2 linked regions of the Saccharomyces cerevisiae S288C genome follow. The protein of the gene in region 2 interacts with the protein of the main gene of each other region in a pairwise test. Each region holds a gene or a part of one and is shown on either strand. Other genes may lie near its edges.

Region 1 (4,837 bases), on a different chromosome or scaffold from region 2:
GACTAAAAATAATGGCGACTTCTGGGCCGGCCTTCTAAAAAAAAGGGACCCGCAACGGGTAACGGCATATTTTTTTCGAAATCAAAGTTCCAGCTTTTCGATGTTTGTAAGCCTTCTAAGACAGAAAGATGTAGTATAAATGATGTAGCTTACTAATCAGGGAAAAAGCAATCGCTAGTATTGCAGAGGCCAAAGGCTTAAGCATCACATTTCGGTAGTAGTAAATAGTTTGTTAGTTCACGTGCTTTTCATTCGTCTCTATTTTACATATTATGATGTCTTCAGACCAACAGGGGAAATGCCCCGTAGATGAGGAAACCAAAAAGTTATGGCTACGAGAACATGGCAACGAAGCGCATCCTGGTGCTACTGCCCCAGGCAATCAACTAGAGTGCTCTGCAAACCCACAAGATAACGATAAAACGCCTGAATATCACACCACGGTGGATCTCTCTCAGTCCAGAGAGGTTTCCACCATACCAAGGACGAATTCTGACAGAAACTGGATATACCCGTCGGAGAAACAATTTTACGAGGCAATGATGAAAAAAAATTGGGATCCGAACTCAGATGACATGAAGGTGGTTGTGCCTTTACATAACTCCATCAATGAGCGGGTTTGGAACTACATTAAAAGCTGGGAAGACAAGCAGGGTGGTGAAGCGTGTGGCGGTATCAAATTAACAAATTTTAAAGGTGATTCCAAAAAACTGACACCAAGGGCCTGGTTCAGGTCCCGTATCTTGCACCTGGCCAAACCTTTTGATAGACATGATTGGCAGATAGATAGATGCGGTAAAACCGTCGACTACGTAATCGATTTCTATTCCACCGATCTGAACGATGCAAACTCGCAGCAACAACCACTTATTTATCTCGATGTTAGACCAAAATTAAACAGTTTTGAGGGCTTTAGATTACGGTTCTGGAAATCTTTAGGCTTTTGAATTACTACAACTATTCCTGTAAATAAAAACATACCCTCCCTAGTTTCCACATACATATTTATTTAATCTTATTTAGGCACTCAATTTAGAAACTAGGGAATGAAAAAGCAGTAATCTTCTTTTAAGGAATAAACAAAAAAAAAAAAAATAAAACATAAAACATAACACAAAATACTCTTTTCTAATGCATTTAAACTTCGGTTTTCACGTCTTCCTCATCCTCTTCGTCTTCCTCGTCATTGCTCTCATCGGATGCTGTTTCATTTAGAGCTTCTTCCTCCTCCTCGTCCTCCTCATCCTCTTCGTCATCCTCATCATCGTCGTCCTCATTGTCAGCACCCTCTTGTTCTTCTTGTTCTTGCTCTTTATCACCAGTTTCCTCGTCCCTAGCTTTCCGTATTTCATTGATTCTCCTCCTAACGATCTCTACAATATCTGTCCATTCTCTCATACCACCCATACCAATATCTCCGCATATTAATACCTTTTCCACCGGTTTCAAAACTTGGATGAACGGATAGTCTTGCACTAAACTCGTCAGGTGTTTCTTTGTCATAGGATTGATATACATGAATGTATTCATTGCAGGCGCAATCAACACTGGGGTCAGTGGTGACCAATCTCTCATCACAGAAGTTAGCAAATTGTTACATATACCATTGGCCAGTTTAGCAAGTGTGTTAGCTGACAAAGGCGCAATCAGGAAAATATCAGCCCATTTTCTTAATTCATGGTGCAATATCAAGTTCAGACTCAAGCTAGTATCATTCTTATTCACAGCGTCGAATACCCAAGCGTCTTCCTCCCTCCAAATTTTAACGTGTGTTGACATTTTGAGCCCTTTCAAAAAATGCTCAGCGGGTTTTGTGACAATCAACTGAATAGAGATTTTCTCAGGCCCATATATCTTGAAAAGTTTATCAATAATTAGAGGTACTTTTATTGTGGCAACTGAGCCCGTCGCACCAATGAGAATGTGGAATTTCTTGTCGTCTTCCTTCTGAAAGAACTCTGTGAAGGGTACACGAGGCCCTGTGGGTGCAGTGATAACTTCCTTGTTTTTATGTGTGGAGTTATTAGCCGATAATGGCGCCGCCTTTGCAGTGATAGGTTTAGAAGCGTTTGACTTGGGATTGAAGTAGATAAAATCACCTGGCATATGAACGATAGAATTTTTTTCCATCGAAGGTGAATCTACTTCATCTTCGCTATTGCTCGTACCACTCGATACCGAATGTTTCCTGATATCAGTACCATCATTAGTAGTGTTCTCCTTAAATATTGCATTCGCTATCCTCTCCTTTTCGTCTATCAGTTGCTGTCTTTCAGTTTGCTTTTTTTGCACTTGCTCCTGAATTTGCTTCACCTCTTCTTGCTGTTTTGCTCGTTGATTTTGCTCCTGCAGTTGTGCCTTTTGCTGCTCTTCTTGTTGTTGATTTTGCTGCAGTTGTTCCTGCTGCTGCTGCTGCTTTCCAGGTTTATTGGATATCGAATATCTATGATACGGCAACCTTTCCACCTCGGGCACCGTAAATGAAACAGCAGAAGGTAATGAAGGTGAAAACCTTTTTTGCTGGCCATTTGTATTAGCTGGCATACTGGTGTTGATCTGTATTTCATGGCCATCTTTGTTCCTTTCACTATTTTGCTTCAGATTGGCAAAAGAGAAATCCCTCAAATTTGTGCTATAATCGTTTTTGTAAATATTCCTCCTATTAGAGTTGGATTTTGATTGATCTTCATGACTATCAGATCTTTCGAAATTTGATTCATCGTGAATACTTTTTCTTCTCTCCTTGTTGGTCAAAATTGAAACCGGCACTTGTGTTGTAGGCAAGGATGAAATTAAGTTAACTCCCTGCTTACCGTTCATATTCTGATCTGAGTTCACTTTTTCATCCGTCATCACACCTAATAACTCTTTGCTGGTCCTTTAGACTTTTATTTAAATATGCTAACTAAGTGTTACTTTACTGTTCTTTCTCTTTTTCTGCTTTTTGTTCTCTCATCTACGAAAGTTCGGTGCGAAATTTTACGTGATTCATTTTCTTACAGAAAAGTTCACATGTTTAACAGTATAAGCGTATGGACCTAGTTATATTTCTTCAGTACATAGCATGCATAATGAGAATATTCACATCATAATTACCCAAAAGTGTCAAACGTACTGTCTAATTCTTTGTCGTTGTCATCGTTAGCGTCTTCTGAAACGGTCACTTGAACGAAGAACATTTTGGCTTCATCATTCCCTCTATTGGCAATCGCGTACTCGTTGAATGCCGGTATTTGGAAAGTGGAACCTTTAACGCTCAAGAACTTGTTCTTACATACAGTTACTTCGACTATTCCCTGTATCACGTGGAACGTAATATATGTCCTAAATGAGTTGCTTAATTTCTTTTGTCCAGAAATAGCTGGTAGTTTTAATATGCCGCTAGCAAAATATTCTTTATGCTTATCGAACATTATCTCAAGGGCAAAATTCTCGTCCTTCGTGTCTTTTACTTGTTCAGTTTGCGACAAATTGGGCGCGAATGCAATAATTTCATCCTTAGTTTCCTCCTTAGTGTCGCTAATTTTCACATTAGCTTCCAGTATTCCATGTTTCAGCCACTCGCCATTTTCTATGCCTCCAGATTCTATCCTTTCTATAATATCCTCGTTGGGATCTTCTGGAATCAAATTTTCCTTTGCATTTGGATCCTTCTTTGGCCTTCCTCTTGGTCTCCCCGTAGGTACGTAGTTGTAAGGTCTGGTTGGTGTAGGTTTTTTTTTTTGTTTCTTCCTTCTTTGTGCTGCCAATATCTCCTCTTCGTCTTCAGATTCATCATATGTGACAATTTTGTCTATGTCAAGAACGGGTTTATTGGACTTCCTCTTATATACTATTTTTTCGTTCCTCCAATACTGCAAAGGCGCCACCTTGACTCTTGTAGATTTCCGAAGCCCGTTTCTATCAATTATTGAATCTGTACGAACCACATCACTCGCTTGTCGTCTTATATAATCATCTTCATTGTCATTTGTGTTCACCTCAGCCTCCTCTTCTACTTCTTGATAGGTGTTATCTCCATCTGAATCACTGGCTGAATCCGAGCCTGAATCCAAAGATGAGTCACTTTCAATGTAATCACCGTCCTCTTCACTTTCAGGTATAAACCCGTCATCTTCTAATTCGTCTTCTAATAATGCGTTATCAGATGTGTTTAAAGAAGTGTTTACTCTATCATCGTCATCCTCATCAGCAACCAAATCAGGTACATCTGAATAAACATTCTTATTAGTGATTCTATCAGGTGTCAACCTTACAGAAGGGCTTTCTGAAGTGTCAAGGCTATACCGAGTGGAGTACTTTCTTTTATATGTAGGTTTACTCAATTTCTGTGTGATTGGTGTGGCAAAATCATTGCCTCTGATATCATTTTCTTCTTGTTCTGGTTCTTCCTCAATAGGCTCGAAATCATTGGCTGGACTCAGGAAGTTTGATTGATGGCTTAACAAAGATGATCGTCTTGATCCATCGCCTTTCCCAGATGGGCTTTGGACAACTTCATCATCTTGAGATTTATATGACTGTAGAAATGGCGGTAATACGTTCTTAGTATCGCCATTTAACGTTGATGGTAAGAAAAGCGATGATTTTCTTCTGCTTTTCCTTCTCATACTGATAAGACTAGTTTCATCATCTTTGAAAAAATCATCAATATTTTCCATGCTGTATTCATCTTTGGGTATATCTTGCTTAACATCAATACCAGTTTTACGGGACTTAAGCCCCAATTTCATATAATCCATGAGTGAAGTGCTGTCCTGTGCTAATGTCTAACTTATTTGTTTAACGTATGTATTTTTCTAACATTCATTTATTTACATCACCATTTCTAACGCGT
Region 2 (4,268 bases):
CTCACCCAGCGATGATGGTAAGATGGACCATATTATGGTGAGCACCAAAGTGCTTGTTATTATCATATATTGTGAAAACCAGTAGTACTCTTTTGTATACATATTGTTTATTTATATCTTTTAGTATTAGACAGGAACAAACAGCTCAGATTCTTTTTTTGGCAAATCTGCTCTCCTCTTGTGATTGTTTCAACTTTCTTTCAGCACATAAATTTTAAAAGTTTACTGGGCCCAAGCAGGAACTTTATTAAGACAATAGGGAATAGTGAAAAAGCCGGCAAAGTGAAAATACAAAAAGCGAGCAATAAAACTCGTACTCTCAAAAAACCCAGAGGAAAGGAAATGAGAAATTGAATAATATTAATATTTACTTATTTAGATTCTCGTAAGATATAAGTGAAACTATAACGACAACTTTATCGGCGAAAAAAAGAAGGAAGAGGAACAACCAAAGAAAGTTTTCAATGAGCTTATTAACTGCAACATTAATATCTAGTTTTTCAGCGATTGGCTAATTTACGTTCTTGCCTGCCTTTTTTCATCACTTGTTTCAAAGCGGTACTGTCCAGTGGGTCCAACAACTCAAAAGAACAGAGTAGGCCTTCACTAACGGTCATGACAGCACCCCAGTTATCGAATTCACCACAATAGTTGGGAGCCGAAAACACTGTAACTAAGCTTCTGTCATTAAAGAATTCATAACCATCTTCCACCACCATATGTGCTCTACACACTAAATCGAATCCGAATTTGTTTAAAAATTTATTAATAGCCACTTTATTGTAACAAAAACTAACTCCACGCTCATTATCCTCCCATTCATTCGATGAATCTGTAGGATCCGACCATAAAAGGTCATTAATTAAGCCGAAGTCGGGTACATCGGTGGGCCTACTAACGTGCCTAATTTCGTCCATGGAATTTAGAACAGGTGATAGTCCACCATGAACACAAAATATTTTTCCTGTGACGATGGCTGCTAACGGTAGCGTGTTGAACGTGTCAACAAAGGTTTTCCAAATCTTGATATTACAACGTCGTTTACATTCATCATAAAACCCGTAGACTCTTGTAACATTGGCACATTCATGATTGCCTCTTAAGAGGAAGAAATTTTCAGGATATTTAATCTTATAGCATAGTAATAGTAAAATGGTCTCCAGGGACTGCTTACCGCGATCTACGTAATCGCCTAAAAATAAGTAATTTGCCATGGGGGGGAAACCGCATTTGGTAAAAAGTCTCAAAAGATCTGCATATTGGCCGTGAACATCACCCACTATTTTTACCGAGGGAGATAATTCTAAGAGAGCAGGTTGGGCAAGGAATAATTCACGAGCCTTATGGCAAATTTGAATAATCTCGGAATTCTTTAAGCAAACATTCTTGGTCCTCTTTGCGGCATAGCCGGCATCTAGTAATCTCTGGATAATTTCATCTATGTCCACTGGACGAACTGGTTTTTTCCTTTTCATTTCGACCATAGTATTAGTCCTAGATCCATTATCACCGTCTGCACAACTCCCGTGTACGAAATCACCTGTGGGAGATGGTGGGGAAACATATATTCTTTGACTGGAACTGGAAGACGATGAAGACCGTTGTCCTTTGCCCCGCGGACTAAGTGAAGATGATGAATCTCTGTGAGCTAGTGTTGGATATGCACTTAAATATTCTCTTTTTGACGCTGACGACGCTGACGGCGAAGGCTTGTCTATGTTTAGATTAGGGATAGGTGAGGTGCCTCTACCGTTGACGTTGTCTCCGCTATCGTCGTTGTCCCTCGAGCTCATTTTTCTTAACGCAGGTGAATGCAGTGGTGTGCTATAAGCTGTATTCCCAGTGGAGCCAAATGACGACTTCCTGGATGATGCATGCGAGTTTGATCTGTTTGAGAAATAGTCGCTGCCATTCCCTCCTGCTTCTGCATTTAAAGGATAACTTGCTGGCAGAGTATTGTCTGATCTTCTGCGTAATTTCGATGAAGTCGAGGAAAATCCTGTTACACCTTTTTCCGGTTGTAATGAATTATGACGTCTTAAAGGAGTACGCTTGGAGCCTCTATCTGCGGAAGAACTAGTGTTGATGCGAGTAACTTTGGCCATTGAGGGGCTCTCGCCGCCATCATCCCCCCTATCGTCGTCATCATCAGTCAACGCATTTTCGTAAGAGTTGAAAGAGCTAGTGGAATGCATGCTTGTACTATTTTTCAAGATGGGTGATTTGGGCTCCATCTGGATCATTGACGGGGGCAATTCTGAATTGTTATTATTCCCCATGCTCGACCTTCTCGAAGAGGAAGAGAGTCTTCTTGACGAACTGGGATGTGAGGTTAGGTAGTGGTTATTAGGAGGAGTGATTGGGGCGTTGTTTGATCGCCTATGGTTGCGATTGCCGTTTCCCAGAGTGGACGATCTGCGGGAGAGGGGTTGCGTTTGAGCTTGAACATTAGATGCCAACGACGCCTCTGAGCGTTTCGACCGCAGCGACCTCAGCGACCTTGACGATTTCAGCGAATGTGTAGTATCCGATTTTGTCAGTGGTGGGAGATCTAGTGTCTTTTTCCTGTCACCGTCGTGGTCATCCTTCTTGCTATTGTGCTTGGTATGTTGTTTCGAACCGGAATTACCCATGGTACTTGCTGATCAAATGTACGATTCTGCAGTTATAGGGGGGGTAAATAGAATAGAATCTGATATTTTTTCTCTGAATTTGCACCGTATTCTAGTTAACTATTTCTCTCTTTGTCACTCTGAGGCACCTATGTTAATGCTATGCTGAGACAAAGGGGGAAGAGGAGGCGACAAAACCTACTATATGTGTATTTCTTACGCAAAAAGGTACGGTTTGCGAAGTATATTATGGCTACCGTATGCTTGTATCTGTGAGATACTATATAGTTATGTAAACAATTTCTCTCTTCCAAGAAGGGACCGCCTTCTTCTGTGCATCGCTGAGACCCTGGCAAGTGAGTTACTTTGGCAAGTGCAACGCAACGGCTGGCGTCCAAGGCCTGTCGCGGCGACGTGGGGGATCCAATATGGGATGCCATAAGAAGCAGTAAGGTGTGAAGGCAAGACGTACATTGGTATGTGGAAGAAGTTGTCAGACACCATCGTAGCGGCGACTGCAAATTTTGGATTGTGGGAATCGCAATAAAGTAAGAGCGAGCACTACAAGGTTTAGTGCAGCGGCTGCCATATTTTACTTCGTACAGGCATTTTAAGGCGATTCCGTCAGCAGCACACTATGTTATCAATCAATGAAAACTGCAGCGAAACTTCTGAGCAGAACGCACAGATAAGAGGTACTTATCTGTTCATCAGATGGTCAAGCAAGGGGATTGAGTTCTGGGCAATTGCGCCTTGCGCCTGGGTTCAAAGGCTGAAAAATCTGGAGTTGGAAAGATAGGGGAAAAAGAAGATGGGTCAGGGTCCTTGTGACTCCGCATAAACTAGATGATAAAGAGTACAAACAAGTCGCCATGGAGAGAATCATACAGCAGACTGACTATGATGCGTTGTCGTGCAAATTAGCTGCTATATCAGTCGGATATCTTCCTTCAAGCGGCCTGCAAAGATTGTCGGTGGACCTATCCAAAAAGTATACAGAATGGCATCGCAGCTACTTGATTACTCTCAAGAAATTTAGTAGGCGAGCTTTTGGAAAAGTAGACAAAGCAATGCGGTCTTCCTTCCCGGTAATGAACTATGGGACATACTTGCGTACTGTGGGGATAGACGCGGCCATATTGGAATTTTTGGTTGCAAATGAGAAGGTTCAAGTGGTAAATTTAGGTTGCGGTTCCGATTTACGAATGCTGCCCCTGTTACAAATGTTCCCTCATTTAGCTTATGTGGACATTGACTACAACGAATCAGTAGAATTGAAGAATAGTATTTTGCGTGAAAGTGAGATTTTGCGTATCTCCCTCGGTTTGTCAAAGGAAGATACAGCAAAATCACCCTTTTTGATTGATCAAGGAAGATATAAACTTGCTGCTTGTGATTTGAACGATATCACTGAAACAACCCGTTTGTTAGACGTATGCACTAAGCGCGAAATACCCACTATCGTAATATCTGAGTGTCTTTTGTGCTACATGCATAATAATGAGTCTCAATTACTAATAAATACAATCATGTCGAAGTTTTCACATGGACTATGGATATCCTACGATCCAATTGGTGGTTCTCAACCGAATGACCGATTTGGCGCCATTATGCAGTCCAACTTGAAAGAATCAAGGAATTTGGAAATGCCCACGT

The links. The genes of interacting proteins can lie anywhere in the genome.
Region 1: the proteins of PPZ2 (region 2) and CAB3 interact in binary tests that used the Saccharomyces cerevisiae proteins (3 or more experiments, as listed by UniProt).

What each region holds. Positions count from the first base shown.
Region 1 is NC_001143.9:273,299-278,135, reverse strand, and holds CAB3 (phosphopantothenoylcysteine decarboxylase complex subunit CAB3), read right to left. Parts: upstream 2,854-4,837; coding exon 1,138-2,853; downstream 1-1,137. Other genes in the region: cytochrome c1 heme lyase CYT2, read left to right, coding at 273-947; MIF2 (Mif2p), read right to left, coding at 3,093-4,742. UniProt on the Saccharomyces cerevisiae protein: Component of the phosphopantothenoylcysteine decarboxylase (PPCDC) involved in the coenzyme A synthesis.
Region 2 is NC_001136.10:1,333,186-1,337,453, reverse strand, and holds PPZ2 (salt homeostasis regulator), read right to left. Parts: upstream 2,634-4,268; coding exon 501-2,633; downstream 1-500. Other genes in the region: phosphatidylinositol N-acetylglucosaminyltransferase GPI19, read right to left, coding at 1-102; PPM1 (leucine carboxy methyltransferase), read left to right, coding at 3,485-4,268. UniProt on the Saccharomyces cerevisiae protein: Essential for the maintenance of cell size and integrity in response to osmotic stress.